4 linked regions of the Xenopus tropicalis genome follow. The protein of the gene in region 1 purifies or fractionates together with the protein of each later gene. This does not show direct contact. Links are inferred from orthologs where the notes say so. Each region holds a gene or a part of one and is shown in the gene's direction. Other genes may lie near its edges. The genes, in order: usp18, skp2, stat2 and map3k7.

Region 1 (3,631 bases):
ATCAGCAGAACAATGGGAAGGGAGCAAGATAGCAGCTCCCAGTAGGTATCAGAATAGCACTCAATAGTAAGAAATCCAAGTCCGGCTTGGGACTCCTCCAGTTACATGGGAGTAGGAGAAACAATAGGTTAGCTGAAAGCAGTTCTAATGTGTAGCGCTGGCTGAAAGCTCAGACTCAGGCACACTTTACTGCTGCGCTGCAAGTTGGAGTGATATCCCCCCCCCTCACCCCCAGCAGCCGATCAGCAGAACAATGGGAAGGGAGCAAGATAGCAGCTCCCAGTAGGTATCAGAATAGCACTCAATAGTAAGAAATCCAAGTCCGGCTTGGGACTCCTCCAGTTACATGGGAGTAGGATAAACAACAGGTTCTAATGTGTAGCGCCGGCTCCTTCTGAAAGCTCAGACTCAGGCACACTTTACTGCTGCGCTGCAAGTTGGAGTGATATCCCACCCCCCTCACCCCCAGCAGCCGATCAGCAGAACAATGGGAAGGGAGCAAGATAGCAGCTCCCAGTAGGTATCAGAATAGCACTCAATAGTAAGAAATCCAAGTCCGGCTTGGGACTCCTCCAGTTACATGGGAGTAGGAGAAACAACAGGTTAGCTGAAAGCAGTTCTAATGTGTAGGGCTGGCTCCTTCTGAAAGCTCAGACTCAGGCACACTTTACTGCTGCGCTGCAAGTTGGAGTGATATCTAAACAAAACCTCCCTTCTTCTAAACGGAGTGGGTGCCCTCGTGCCCGTTGGAAGGACCTACTGGTAAATAAAACATTAGAAAGGTTATTATATGATCCCCTTGTATATTTATACATAGTTATCATGTATATCCTGTCCCCTTCTTCAGGCACAGAGGCTGAGGGCACTTTATGGCATCAAACTTAAAGAACACGTGACGTGCCACAAATGCTCCCATGAAAAGTCCAGTGACATGGAAGTCCTGACAATTCCGTTGCCAGTTCCCCACTCCAAATACCAAAGGCCTTTGCCCCTGGTGAGTACACACTAGGGCCACAGCGGCTACCTGCAGTTGCGCTTCAGTTGCGTTGGGATCTTCTTATCATTCCCTACGTTTTGCTTTTACCCAGCAACGAGCGCTCTGGAGGTTCTTTAAGCCGCACGAGATAAGTGAAGACAATTTCTGTCCGAAATGTGCCGAAAACACCGCAGGACAGAGGGTAACGCAAAGCCTTTCTTTATTATATGAAAAACAAGTCTTGACCATTAACTTGGCCATTAACTACTTGGGCATACATCGAAGTAACCGGCCACTCACCTGGTTGTTCAGCAAATTAAGTAGTGGTCAATGTGGACACTTAATGCTGAGAAAATGGTTGATATTTACCCAGATGATCAGAGGATGGGCTAGCCAAGGAGTTGGAGCAGCCAGGGGTGGCATATCTTGACCCATTAAGTGTTGAGTAGCCGCCCAATATGTCCATTAAAGTTCACAGATATATGCTGTGTGGGCATTGGTGTCCATATATATTATATATAAAAATCCACTTGCTGGTGGAGTAGATCTTCGCTCAATTTGGCCACCTAGGTGGCTGGTTCAATCAAGGGGATCTGATTCCAAGAAGGTCCTATGAGGACCACCACTACCCAATTTGTTTCTCTATTGGATCTTTTTCTACCTGATCCCCAGCTGGATATCGGGCGGCCAGGCTGTTTTGGCCCTGTACAGAGGCCAAAGGTCTTCAACGGGTCCACCTTTAGTTTTTGAGCCTTTAGTATTTGTTGGAAAGTCAGACAGCAAGATGTATAGGAGAGGGTCTAGGTCAAACCAGTCATGTTATCTCTACCATGGAAAGCTGAGATGCATCTCCACAGCCTACTTTGTTACTTTGGAGACTTTTGGCAAAACATGGCCCATACCATAATGCAACTAAGTTCCAGGTTGGAACAGTTTAAATCAAGGTGATCTGATGAGGACCACCACTACCCAATTTGTTTCTCTATTGGATCTTTTTCTACCTGATCCCCAGCTAGATATTTTGATCGGCCAGGCTGTTTTGGCCCTGTACAGAGGCCAAAGGTCTTCAACAGGTCCAAGGTATGGCCATCTTTAGTTTTTAAACCTTTAGTATTTGTTGGAAATTCAGACAGCAAGATGTATAGGAGAGGGTCTAGGTCAGTGATCCCCAACCAGTGGCTCCGGGCAACATGTTGCTCCCCAACCCCTTGGATGTTGCTCTCAGTGCCCCCAAACCAGGGAGTTATTTTTGAATTCCTGACTTGGGGGCAAGTTTTGGTTGAATAAAAACAAGATTCCCTACCAAATAAAGCCCCTGTAAGCTGATAGGTGCATAGAGGCTGCCTAATAGCCAATCACAGCCCTTATTTGGCTCCTCCATGAACTTTTATGGTGCTTGTGTTGCTCCCCAAGTCTTTTTACATTTGACTGTGGCTCAAGAGTAAGAAAGGTTGGGGATCCCTGGTCTAGGTCAAGCCATGTTATCTCTACCATAAATGGCCCAAATACAGAGTCTTGGAAAGCTGATGTCCCAAGTAGGAGATGTATCTTCACAACCTACATTGTTACTTTTGGCACAACATGGCCCATACCAGGTTGGAGAAGAGACTTCCACCAGTGAATACAATTCATGACCTAACACAGGGACCATAGAGATGTCTTGTACCTTAGCTTCCCTTCCTCCATACTTTGCAGGTTCTCCAGTTCTTCTCTCTACCTCAGACGCTGTCCATACATCTGAAACGTATTAGCAGAAGAAAGACCTCCGACGTACAGAAGATAAACAGAACGTTCTCTTTCCCTTGCACGCTGGACTTGAGTGATGTTCTGGATCAGGAGCAGTTCCCGGTACAAGAACATGCTCAGGTACAGCCGCTGGTACCAAAGAAAGGCATTAAGGACCTTCACCCAAGGTTTTCCACCTAAATGATGGATGTGCCAGCTGACCCCAGCTTCTAGCAGTTGGTTGTCATTGCAAACAGTCATTAAATAATATAATATAAAATGACTCGGGCCACTCTGGGGGTTGGACCATGAGGGACACAATCCAAAATACCACCATTTTGTTTTTCTTCCAGTCAGACTTCAAGTATAGACTTTTTGCTGTCATCGCCCACTCTGGAACGGCCAGCTTTGGCCACTATTGTGCCTACATCAATAGCTCAAAGGACCAGACGTGGTACAGCTTTAATGACTCCAGCGTTTGCAAGGTGAGAGAGATGGTGTTACCCAAATGGCACAAACTAAAGGCAACGCCCATGTAATGATCTGGGTGGTGCCGGGGGCGGGTTCTGTTTGATCGATGGACAACATTATATACTTTGTGTATGTATTATAGGTATCCTGGGATGATGTGAAATGCACCTATGGAAACATGGACTTTCACTTGTAAGTACGAGGAGAAAAAGGGTCTTCCCAACCTATAGCTCCCTAATAAACTAGGCAAAATTCAATTTTTGGTTTTACTTCCCCTTTAAATTTACACGAATCTTTCTGATATTTCCTTTCAGCAGTGCTACAGCCTGTCTGCTGGTCTATCTACAGGGAGATGGGAACTAGAGACGCCAACGCCGCAGGACGACGGACACAGTCCATATTATTTCAATACACGTGGAACCCACCCGGTATGACCCTGGGTTCTGGGAGACTTCATTA
Region 2 (4,249 bases), on another chromosome or scaffold:
ATTACATTTTACTGTTTTACATGCTTTTCAACATTGATCAAAAGGCTGCTCTTTCTACCACTCCCTACTATACCTGCTATCCCACAGCCCCAGTCCCTTCCCAGAGGCTATTATCCCCCACTGCTACTATAGGCACCATCTCTCCCTACTATACCTGCTATCCCACAGCCCCAGTCCCTTCCCAGAGGCTATTATCCCCCCACTGCTACTATAGGCACCATCTCTCCCTACTATACCTGCTATCCTACAGCCCCAGTCCCTTCCCAGAGGCTATTATCCCCCCACTGCTACTATAGGCACAATCTACCCCTACTATACCTGCTATCCCACAGCCCCAGTCCCTTCCCAGAGGCTATTATCCCCCCACTGCTACTATAGGCACCATCTCTCCCTACTATACCTGATATCCCACAGCCCCAGTCCCTTCCCAGAGGCTATTATCCCCCCACTGCTACTATAGGCACAATCTACCCCTACTATACCTGCTATCCCACAGCCCCAGTCCCTTCCCAGAGGCTATTATCCCACTGCTACTATAGGCACCATCTCTCCCTACTATACCTGCTATCCCACAGCCCCAGTCCCTTCCCAGAGGCTATTATCCCACTGCTACTATAGGCACCATCTCTCCCTACTATACCTGCTATCCCACAGCCCCAGTCCCTTCCCAGAGGCTATTATCCCCCCACTGCTACTATAGGCACCATCTCTCCCTACTATACCTGCTATCCCACAGCCCCAGTCCCTTCCCAGAGGCTATTATCCCCCACTGCTACTATAGGCACCATCTCTCCCTACTATACCTGCTATCCCACAGCCCCAGTCCCTTCCCAGGGGCTATTATCCCCCCACTGCTACTATAGGCACCATCTCTCCCTACTATACCTGCTATCCCACAGCCCCAGTCCCTTCCCAGAGGCTATTATCCCCCCACTGCTACTATAGGCACCATCTCTCCCTACTATACCTGCTATCCCACAGCCCCAGTCCCTTCCCAGAGGCTATTATCCCCCCACTGCTACTATAGGCACCATCTCTCCCTACTATACCTGCTATCCCACAGCCCCAGTCCCTTCCCGGAGGCTATTATCCCCCCACTGCTACTATAGGCACCATCTCTCCCTACTATACCTGCTATCCCACAGCCCCAGTCCCTTCCCAGAGGCTATTATCTCACTGCTACTATAGGCACCATCTCTCCTTACTATACCTGCTATCCCACAGCCCCAGTCCCTTCCCAGAGGCTATTATCCCACTGCTACTATAGGCACCATCTCTCCCTACTATCCCACAGCCCCTTAAATTGTGTTATTTCCATTGCTGCTCCCCTACAGAAAAGTATTCCTGCGCCTCCCAAGCTGGCTATAATGCGGCAGACAGCGCATGCGTAGAGGCGTAGAGGTGCGGCGCAGGCGCAGAGTGACGCGCATAGTGACGCAGGAGGCGGCAGTAGGGGAGCGGGAAGGTTACAAGTGCACAAAGTGGCGCGCTGATGGCTGTACACAGGTAAATGGGGCAGCGGGAATGGTTTGTGTGTTTTTGCGCTCAGTGTTATGGCTCAGAGCTCCCAGGCAGCTCTCCTTGCTGTAAAACCCACACACTGACCTGGGCACAATACTTCGGCTTTAGGATAGGAACTTATTGGCGCTCCAGCTGTTTAAATAGCTACAAGTGCTCGCAGCCGCTAGTGCTGCTGGGAATTGTAGTCTGTATACGAGTGTTAATTTTGCCTTCACTTACAGAGGAATATTCTCCTGCTTGTGGTTAGATTGGGTGTAGTTGCCTTTGTGTACCCAAGCCTCTCTGCCAGCTTTTAGCGCTTGGCCTTAACTGTGGGTGCCAACAGCGCCCAATTGCCGAGGGCACCCTACTTTTTATCCTGCTGCCAGGGTTATTTTGCCTTTCTCCCTTGGAGACTGAGCAGCTGCACAGATGTTAGTGTTCTATGGCCACAATACAACTCACACTGTGGGGGGAGCCTGTGCCTGGGGCCCCTCCCTCATTAGGGCCCCACAACATACACAAAGGGCATGTTATTACATTTAACTGTTGATGGGTATATTTAATTGTAAAGATCAGGATTGCCCAACCTGCAGTTGGTGTACATTCCCCAGCACCCTGTGACAGTCTTTGTCTGTAGGGGGGATGCTGGGAGTTGTATGTTTAACCCTCACATGGCTCACATCGGCTGCACATGGGGGGTCGGTGACCCCCATTTGAAAGCTTAAGAGGCAGAAGAGGAAGGCGAATAATTCAAAAACTATATATAAAAAAAAATAATATATAATGAATATATAATAGAATGACCAATTAAAAAGCTGCTTAGAACTGGCCATTCTATAACACACTAAAAGTTCGGTTAACTTTTAGTATTCAAGTAATATGAGACAAGTCACAATTTGTCTTTTTTTAGTTGTGGTTTTACATTATTTTACTTTTTGTTGAGCAACTTTCAAGTTTGGAATTTCAGCAGCTATCTGGTTGCTAGGGTTCAGAGTACCTTAGCAACCAGGGGGTCATTTGAATGAGACACTGGAATATGAATATGAAAGGGTCTGAAATAAAAAGATAAGTAATAATATCAATAAAACTGTAGCCTCACAGAGCATTAGGTTTTTGATTGCCGGGGTCAATGTCCCCCATTTGATATCTGGAAAGAGGCAAAAAAGGAGGGCAAATAAAAAAAAAATAAATAAAAAAGACCAACTGAAAAGTTGCTTAGAATTAGCCAATCTATAACATACTAAAATGTAATGTAAAGGTGGTTTGCATTTAAATTAATTTTTAATATGACATAGACGGTGATATTTTAAAACAATTTTCAGTTGGTTTTATTTATTTATTTTTTTGTAGTTTTTCAGTTATGTCGCTTTTTGTTCATCAACTCTCCAGTTTGGAATTTCAGCAGCTATCTGGTTGCTAGATTCTTGTTTACCGTAGCAACCATAAAATTGTAAGATCACAGAGCAATAGTTTTTTGGCTGCCAGTGACCCCCATTTGAAAGCTGGAAAGGTGTTCAAGTGGAAGGCAAATAATTTGAAATCTGTTAATAAAAAATATATATAATGGTGATCAGTCGCAAAGTTGCTAGGAATAGGACATTCTATAACATACTAAAGGTTAACGTAAAGGTGACCCACCCCTTTAAGAGTTGTGTGAACAGGAAAGATGTAGTTTTGGGCCTTTCCTGTTCAACATGACAGGTGGTGTGGGGGTAAAATTAATGTGGTTTGAGTCCTTTGGGGCACCGCCCACTGTCGGGGGAGTTGGGGATGATGATAAAGGTTATGGGATGGGACTGCTGAATATGAATCATTATACAGAAGCCCTTAGTACTGACACATTGACCAGTAATGTATAAAACGGACTGCTTTGCCTTATAAATATGGCAGATGGTATAACTCTCTCGTTCTCTGTTGCAGGAAACACCTCCAGGAGATCCCTGCTCCCAGCAGGAACGCGTCCAACCTCATGTGGTGCTGGGACTCCAACAAGCCTTCAGACCTTTTCTATGGCATGGGGGTGACTCCTATGGAGAAGGATTTGCAAGACACAGAAAATACCCCTCAGGACTATATAGTAAAGGCCAGTCCCCCACAGAAACGCCCGAGGCCGAAGGAACGGGATGAATGCTTTGTCATTGCACGGCGGCCCCGGGTGGCCAGACCTGCTCAGACAGGTACGGAGCTCGTGTCAAAAAAAGAGGGTATATTTGCCCTTTAAAACTATGGCTTCCAACAAACATCACCCTAATGCTTGGGGCAGTTGGGCAGGTTTCATTTAGATAAAGAGGAGGGACATGCGTCTTTTTTGCAACCTAAATTACTATAAGTTTAAACCCTATTGCCCTGCAGCATAACCCTCCTCCTATTCTTCCAAGGCATAGAATATGCAGGGGGGCCATGCTTTATTTACATACAAGGCTCAGAGGTGGGGGTTGGTTGGTTAAATAGAGACAACCCTGAGGATCCAGGAGGTTCAGTTAAAGCTGCAGTAAGGGTTGTTAGTAAGGGTATAGGGCTACTTGGCATTAGAATTGGCACAGTAACCCTGCTCCATAAGAACAGTGGCTTTTTCATGCTGCTGCTACTTGTAGCACCAAGTTCTTGGCCGACCCAAAGTCCTTTGCACCCCAATGGCAAGCAAAGGCCGTTGCATCACTGCTATAAACAGGAGACACCCCAGAATGCCACAGCCCTAATACTAATAATGAAATATTTATCCTGGATTTTAGTTGCCCTTTGTCTT
Region 3 (3,631 bases), on another chromosome or scaffold:
GAATGGTGTGAGCACGCTAGCACCTGTACCTGACAGATGAATTTTGATATTAGCTAGTCCTAGCTCATTGCTGTTGGAGCAAGGTAATAGTGACTAATCTCCCCGTGTGCCAGAGCCCTTATTCAGCATAAATGTCATCAAGAATACAGGCTCACACAGGCAGAACTGTCTTTGCTAAAAGTTCTGCTTTGTTTGAGCACTGTAATGGTTAAACTAAGCTCAGGAGAGGAGGTTAGGAGAGCTAGAGCTGAATTTCTACCAGCAATGCCATCTCTTCATTGGTTGCTAAAATGGGGGGTGTGTTTAGTAATCTGAGCTGAAAAAAACTGACCATGTCTGGCAAGCCAGAAATCAAAGCAAATTCCAGAGGGGGGAGGGGGGGGCAGTGGGTTACAGGAGGAGAAGGAAAGTGATTAAGGAGATGCTGCAGCCTTACTATTAACCTCTGGACAACCAGTGTGGCAGGCATTGAAAGATTTCAAAGAGGCTGTTCACTGATTATATTTTTGTGTACGGGGTTTACATGTCCATTAACTTCAGCTGACTAAAGTTAAAAATGTATTTGCAGTGGTCAGTTCTTTAAAATGTATCAATAAGTTAATTTCCTGGTGCAGGAGAAGCCCAGGATTCCTGCCAAACATACCCTGGGAGATTGGGATTGCTTTGCATTACCATACAAAAAGCCCTTTTATATGCCTGATCACTGGCTAAGTTCTTGTTTGGTACCCTTACAGCAAGGTCACACCCCGATGACAAACATTTAAAGAAGAAAAGAGATGAACTGCAGAGTCTGTTAAATGAACTGGACAGGAAGCGCAAGGTCAGTTTTATAGGATAATGTTGTTTATGCATGTGTTGTGTTGTATTATCAGCACGGGGATTATTTAGAAAGTATTTGTCATTACAAACACAGCTTATTTTAGAACACGTCTAAACCTTAGATTTATGACCTATCTCACAAATGATTCATTTGCTGTTTTACAAGGGTATGCATTTTACTATAATGCAGACAATGATATTCTGAGATAATCTGCAATTGGTCTTAATTTTTAACTTTTTGTGGTTTTGCAATTATTTTGCTTTTTGTTCAGCAGCTCTCCCGTTTGGAATTGTAGGGTCAAATTTACTCTAGCAACCAAGCACTGGTTAAAATGAGCTTCTGAATAAGTGGCTAAGGGCCATGGAATGCGTCAAGCCAAGCTGGTGATACTTTGGGGTGAAGCCTATTATGTTTCTTTTTGGTTTTTTTTTGCCACATTATGTTTACTTTTAACCTTACTGGCTGGTGCTCCATGCCAAGGACTGATATTCTGGTTGAAATGAGAGCCTGGGAGATAAATAGGAGAAGTCAAAATTGAAAGATAAGTAATAAAAGGAACAATGAAACTGTAGCCTCATGGCACAAAAGCTTTTTGGCAGGGGTCAGTGACCCCCCCCCCCCTCCATTTGAAAGCTGGAAGATGCAGAAGAGGAAGGCAAATAGCTAAAAGAAACTATTAAAAAAATAAACAAATAAAATGAAGACAAATTGAGACGTTGCTATGAATTGGACATTCTGTAACAAACTAAAAGTAAAACAAAGGGATTCTGTCATGATTTTTGTAATGTAGTTTTTATTTCTAAATTACACTGTTTAAATAGCAAATAATTCTCTCTACCATTTAAAATTTGATGGGGGAGATGTGCCCAACTTATATACATGGTAGAAAAATAAAGGGTTTATGTGTTCTTTAACAAACAAAAGGAATTCTGGGAACGAATTCCAGACTCTTAAAAAAAATCCCATTTACATGGGTTTATCCTATAGGCTACAGCTCACCCACTGGGTTTGAAGCTGAAGTCAGGACAATAGCTGATCAGATTCCCAACTACAGACCAGTTTCGCCCTTATTGGGGGCTCATCAGTGTAGTGTAGGGTTTTCTGATCAGCTTAGGTAGAGTCACCATGTGGTTCTACAAACAAATAAATAAGGTTGAGGAGACTGCCTCACACAGACAAAAGCAAACAAAAGGAATTCTGGGAACGAATTCCAGACTCTTAAAAAAATCCCATTTACATGTTCTTTAAGATAGCTGTTGAGACTTTGGCTTTCTGCCATCCCGCCGGCGACTTACATGTTCGCCGGTGGGATGGCAGGGGTAGGCAACTCGGGGAGATTAGTCGCCCGCGAACAGGGAGTTTTATCGCGGGCGACTAATCTCCCCCGTGTGCCAGAGCCCTTAGAAGTTAATAGCCCCCACATAAGAACATGCTAAAGGCACTTTCTCCATCTCCCAGATATTACAAACACACGGGTAATGACCCGGACACTCTATTCTGCTAATTTCTGAGTAGCCACACGACTACTTTTGTTCCCCTAATTTAACTAAATTAAAATGAAACATTCACTGAAATTGTGCCTCCTAGTGGGCTAAAACATAATTTGGTACTGAAGTTCACCCTCTCTGGCTACTATAGTTTAGCCCTCAAGTGAAAGGAAGGCAACAATAATTTGTGCCACACATGCACATTATTATTATTATTATTAACATTTATTTATAAAGCGCCAACATATTCCGCAGCGCTGTACAATAAGTGGGTTTTATACACTGGACACATTCTCTACTGTTCTTTCTCTGCTCAGCTGCTCATGTAGGCTATACCTTAAAAATATTCTTTTTACCCCCAGGAGGTTTTGGATCAAATAAAGGGCCTGCTTGGGTTGTGTGAGACACTTGTCGAATTCCTGCAGCAGGAATTAGATGAGTGGCTGTTAAAGCAAAAACTGGAATGTATTGGAGCCCCCACAGAAACATCTCTCAAGAATCTTCAGGGCTGGTGAGTAGAGAAAGCTTAATTCCACCAATTCATTTCACCTCATTACTGATCTGGGATTAAGTAAAACTCAAATGTATGGATTTCAGCCCAAACCAGTCAGTGAAGCTTCAAGATAGATCAAATAGGACGTGATCTGCTTTTCTCTGCCTGTGTACATCGTGTACCCTTAGCCTTACAGATCAATTGTTTTTTGGTTGCCAGGGTCAGCGACCCCATTGTGAAAGCTGAAAAGGGGCAGAAGAAGAAAGCAGATGATTAAAAAACTATAAAAAATGAAAGGCAATTAAAAAAGAATAGAACTTTTTATAACATACTAAAAGTTAACCTAACTTTAATCTTTTTAGGAAGGGATTACATACAAGGTTATTGATAGTAATGCTCTTAGTACAATGTTTCCATTAGCACAACTATAAATTAGGAAGGGATAACATACAACATGCCTTTAAGAGGGGCTCGGATGAGTTCTTGAACAAGCATAATATCCAAGCCTATTGTGATACTAATATCTACAGTTTGTATTGATGTTGGTATATATGGTTTATGTATGTGAGTGTATAGATAGGTCAGTATGGGTCTGTATGTGAGTGTATAGATAGGTCAGTATGGGTCTGTATGTGAGTGTATAGATAGGTCAGTATGGGTCTGTATGTGAGTGTATAGATAGGTCAGTATGGGTCTGTATGTGAGTGTATAGATAGGTCAGTATGGGTCTGTATGTGAGGGTATAGATAGGTCAGTATGGGTCTGTATGTGAGTGGATAGATAGGTCAGTATGGGTTTATGTATGTGAGTGGATAGATAGGTCAGTATGGG
Region 4 (4,198 bases), on another chromosome or scaffold:
AAGTCTGCTGGGCTGCCAGGAAGGAATCAGTCCTCTGTGGTATCTCTAGTGTGTGTCCCCTGCTGTGAACAGGTATTGTTCGTTTGCCTGCTACGTGGGAGCAGCCACCTTTATAAAGGGAAGGTACTCTGGGGCAGGTAGCGCTACCTGGGGGGACTAAAGAGCTCTTGGGGAAGGGACTGAACTAACCTAAGGGTTGTGGTTTATCCGGATCCAAGTGGGGATTGGGCATCTATAGAGACTGTCGGTGCCAGCTGTGGATAAACTACATGGGTTCCTCAGAGCAGGAAAATCAGTTGTACATAAAGTGTTAACTTCCAACTCCAACAGTTATATAAAGTTTAACATTTCTGCCAAACCTGTGTGTGATTATTTCCTAGTGGAAATCCCCTAGAGGTGTGTTCCTCAGTGTCCACTAGGTGGAGGCACTGCGCTGTTCCCAGTTCCCAGTATCAATATTCTTTGAGAACACACATCTCCTGAAAATACAGCCATATATAAGTGAATGTGCCAAGAAAGGGTTACACATACATACCTGTTCTCACCAGGGGACACACACGGAGATTCCACAGAGGACTTTGTAATCCCTGGCAGCCCTGCAGACTCTTCTTTTTTCAGTCTCAACTCACAACATGTGGTACGGGCTGCTCACTCTATATCTCTCCTCCAAAAACTGGCAAAACACCTTTATCAACTGCTGCCCCCCCCTTGATTTTTGGCTCCAAACTGGGGCATCCAGCCAGCACTTGCCTGAGGCTGGAGATCTCCCTATAAAGTTAAAGGGAAAACCCAGCTTCTGCACAATTGTGTCAGATTTGTGACAAAATGTGCATACAGTTGTGGGAATTTTGTCACATCAAATGTAGTTGTGTAGGCGCAATAGTGATTGCAATTCAGTGGAAAAGGCTGCATTGTGGGGAAAAAATGCACTCAGAATTCCACTTTGTTTACTGCACTTGCCTATAAGAGTATATTTCTATACTTTCACTATTGGTTATAAATTAAGAGCAGGCACTGAGAAATGATTTCTGGAAGTTTTAAAAACCTAACAACACTTCCAGAGACAATTTATTTCGGAGGGCAGATAGTACCGTCATATAAGACAGCAAAACGTAAACAAAACAGCAGAGCAAAAAAAAAAAAGACTATATTGTAGAAAGAATTTTCATTTTGTCATGTCAATAAAGTTGTATAAAAAAACTATCTTTCCGAACACGCCTCACTTTGCTTCTGTGCAAGACGACATCACGAAGCCCCGCCCTGCTTTCGCCGCCGCTCTGCATTAGGCCTGCGCTTCTTCGCCTCTACCTGTATGGTCGGATCGGAAGTTGGCCAGCGCATCAGCGGCTACAGTAGTAGCAAGAGAGCCCTCCCCTCTTCCACCACAGGCCCTGGCTCCAAGCAGGCTAGGCCCAGCAGCCCAGAAGGGGGTTACCTGGTCCTTGATGGGCCGGGGCCGCCCGTCACGTACAAGTATTACGGTGGCTCCTGTTAAACCCGCTCTGTTTTCCCCAGCTGTGTACCCCGGCTTCCGCCGGTGGGGTCCCCGATTTCTCTTGTAAGGGCACGGCATGTCTGCCGCCTCTGCTGACATGATTGAGACTCCACCGGTGCTAAACTTTGAGGAGATCGACTACAAGGAGATAGAGGTGGAAGAGGTGAGCCTGCGGGGTGACACGGGCAAATGGGCTAAAGGCAGATCTCCAACCTGCAGCTTTTCATTAACATATAACTTCTAGCAGTTGCTGCCAGTAGTTGCACTTTACTGACCGCAGGTTGGACTTTCCCCGCTTATTGTTTGTAAATATTTAGTCCTATTCATTCTTTGCCAGAGAAAGTTCTATGGAGACAAATCTAGTAGTAAAGACACCCTTAAAGGGGAAGTTCACTTGTAAAGCAGCTATTAGGTTTTTCCTGGCTGGCCTATTCTCGGCAACTATTCAATTGATTATTTCTAATTTATATGTTTTATGGTTTTTTTTAATGATTCCCCCTCCTATCATTGCCATTTTACATGTTGCAATTTGAAAATGTCAGTTTTTTGGGGGACACTGTCCCTCCCCCAATTATATAGCTGATACTTGTCTTTGGCTTGTCTTTGTTTAGAGTTTCTTTCCTTTTCATCTTTCTGACTTTCCAACCACTGCCTGGTTCAAGGTAAACATTCTAAGTTGGATAGCTGCAGAGCAAAATGTGAAATAATTAAAAAAAAACAAAAAAACAAAAGAAATAACTAAAGAACAGTAGCAAACTGTCATAACATTCAGGTGAATTGCTTCTTGAAAGACTGCGTTTGTCCCAGACAACATATCTGTACATTTGCCGCTGATATGAGGCATCAGAGGTGACAGGTAGCCCATCCATTTTTTGTATGATTTATTTCATATATTTCCCAATGGCTTGCACATTCCATGCATCTCCATAGTGGTACAAACTTTGCTTGGAAACCTCTTTTTCTATTGGTTTCATCTGTAATATTAATGCGATAGCAAAACAGATTAATTCATAGTTTGTCAAAGAATTTTGTTTTTAAATTATCAGAAAACACAATGAAAAGACACTTGTGAAGCACCAGTTTTATGTAGTTGTTTTTATTCTTACCGCTGATGCATGTGTTTGAAGTATGACCATATTTATAGCCAAAAATATTGGGTAGGCATGTTTTCTGGTTGTAGTCACATGGGTGTCGTGCCGTACTCATGGTGATTCCTGTTGAATGTAAAGGGGAAGTGATGTTCCTCTAAATTATGTTAATTTACCCCAAATCTTGTCACATTAGTCTTATTGACGTTTTGCTTTTGTGTATATGCCATTTTCAAGCAAAGGCCAATTGGATATTCTTACGGTGGCCATGCACGAGTAGATTTTAGCTGCAGATTCGGGTCCTTTAGAATGATTCAGCAGCTTATCTGCCCATGTATGGGCACGCCTGCCAGGCCTACCTGACTACATCGTCAGATCCGCCACACACCCATCAGAGCTGAAACAGCAGATAAGGAGGAAGAAACAATAGGATTTCTACCTCCTTCTGCCGATTCAGCCCTGACGGCAGATTTTGGTCAGGCGCCTTCTATGGCGCCCGATCAAATTTTTTTAACCGGTCCGATCGGCGAGTCGACCGATATTAGCAGTTTCCTGCGATATTGGTCGACTCGCCGACATGCCATACACGCACTGAATATAGTACGAAAAGAGGTTTCGTACGATAGTATCGGTGCGTGTATGGCCAGCTTTAGATCTGCCCTAAAATTAACCAGATCTTGGTCAGATAGGTTTGATTTTATGACTTATAAGGGACTGCATCATTTGGTCCAAACTTGCCCACCTAACGAGAAGATCCACTCGTTTGGCGAACTCTCCAAACAAGCAGATCTTAAAGTGTGTGGCTGCCTCAACTCAACATTGTGAAAGTTCATCAATCTGGAATCGGTGAAGGATTGTTGTCTGATCCAAATTCCCTTGTACAGGAACATGCAGTATATTTTCCTGTAGAACCATGGGACTTGATAGCATAGGTTAGGTTTAATGAAACCATCAGGGTGAAGACAGACAGAGAAACTAGTCGCTGCGATTTTAAAAATCCAGTCTAGGTGACTTATTGGCCGCCACAAAAGTCTTGGATTTCTTACTGTTGCATGCTATTATGATATCTACTGGGAGCTGATATCTTGCTCCCTTCCCATTGTTCTGCTGATTGACTGCTGTGGGAGATTAATATCGCTCCAACTTGCAGTGCAGCAGTAAAGTGTGATTGAAGTTTTTCAGAGCACAGGTGACATGGCTGTGGCACCCTGGGAAATGAAGGATATGGCTAGCCCCATGTGAAATTTCAAAATTAAATATAAAAATCTGTGTATTTGAAAAATGGATTTTAATGCAGGATTCTGCTTCTCTCTGGAGAAGCTCCATTAACTCATGTGTTTTGGAAAAAAAAACATGGTTTTCCATGACAGTATCCCTTTTAAGGTGCATTTTGCTGGCAGTGCCTCTTCTCATTCTATGTACTGTTAGGGCAAAGACACACGGAGCTGCTTAGTAGCAGCTACTTGCGACGGCTAGAAAACTCCAGAAAATACCCTGCCACAGACAAAACTTGAGAATTGCCTCTACACATGTAGAGACAATTACCAGTAAATGATCAGCATTGTCAATTTTTGTAGCCATGACAACTAGCTGCTACAGGTATGGGATCCCTTAT

The links.
Region 2: the proteins of usp18 (region 1) and skp2 purify together in Homo sapiens (affinity purification with western blotting; 4 studies listed by BioGRID and IntAct, with this or other methods). This does not show direct contact. The link is inferred for Xenopus tropicalis from reciprocal best matches to the Homo sapiens genes USP18 and SKP2.
Region 3: the proteins of usp18 (region 1) and stat2 purify together in Homo sapiens (affinity purification with western blotting; 6 studies listed by BioGRID and IntAct, with this or other methods). This does not show direct contact. The link is inferred for Xenopus tropicalis from reciprocal best matches to the Homo sapiens genes USP18 and STAT2.
Region 4: the proteins of usp18 (region 1) and map3k7 purify together in Homo sapiens (affinity purification with western blotting; 4 studies listed by BioGRID, with this or other methods). This does not show direct contact. The link is inferred for Xenopus tropicalis from reciprocal best matches to the Homo sapiens genes USP18 and MAP3K7.

The regions. Positions count from the first base shown.
Region 1 is NC_030679.2:8,493,674-8,497,304, forward strand, and holds part of usp18 (ubl carboxyl-terminal hydrolase 18), read left to right. Parts: intron 1-847; coding exon 848-994; intron 995-1,088; coding exon 1,089-1,178; intron 1,179-2,671; coding exon 2,672-2,842; intron 2,843-3,054; coding exon 3,055-3,186; intron 3,187-3,314; coding exon 3,315-3,364; intron 3,365-3,486; coding exon 3,487-3,535; 3' UTR 3,536-3,631. UniProt on the Homo sapiens protein: Interferon-induced ISG15-specific protease that plays a crucial role for maintaining a proper balance of ISG15-conjugated proteins in cells. Regulates protein ISGylation by efficiently cleaving ISG15 conjugates linked via isopeptide bonds.
Region 2 is NC_030677.2:198,003,783-198,008,031, forward strand, and holds the start of skp2 (S-phase kinase-associated protein 2), read left to right. Parts: upstream 1-1,437; 5' UTR 1,438-1,492; coding exon 1,493-1,506; intron 1,507-3,423; coding exon 3,424-3,680; intron 3,681-4,249. UniProt on the Homo sapiens protein: Substrate recognition component of a SCF (SKP1-CUL1-F-box protein) E3 ubiquitin-protein ligase complex which mediates the ubiquitination and subsequent proteasomal degradation of target proteins involved in cell cycle progression, signal transduction and transcription.
Region 3 is NC_030678.2:138,441,455-138,445,085, reverse strand, and holds part of stat2 (signal transducer and activator of transcription 2), read left to right. Parts: intron 1-734; coding exon 735-820; intron 821-2,669; coding exon 2,670-2,818; intron 2,819-3,631. UniProt on the Homo sapiens protein: Signal transducer and activator of transcription that mediates signaling by type I interferons (IFN-alpha and IFN-beta).
Region 4 is NC_030681.2:84,978,645-84,982,842, forward strand, and holds the start of map3k7 (mitogen-activated protein kinase kinase kinase 7), read left to right. Parts: upstream 1-1,343; 5' UTR 1,344-1,571; coding exon 1,572-1,658; intron 1,659-4,198. UniProt on the Homo sapiens protein: Serine/threonine kinase which acts as an essential component of the MAP kinase signal transduction pathway. Plays an important role in the cascades of cellular responses evoked by changes in the environment.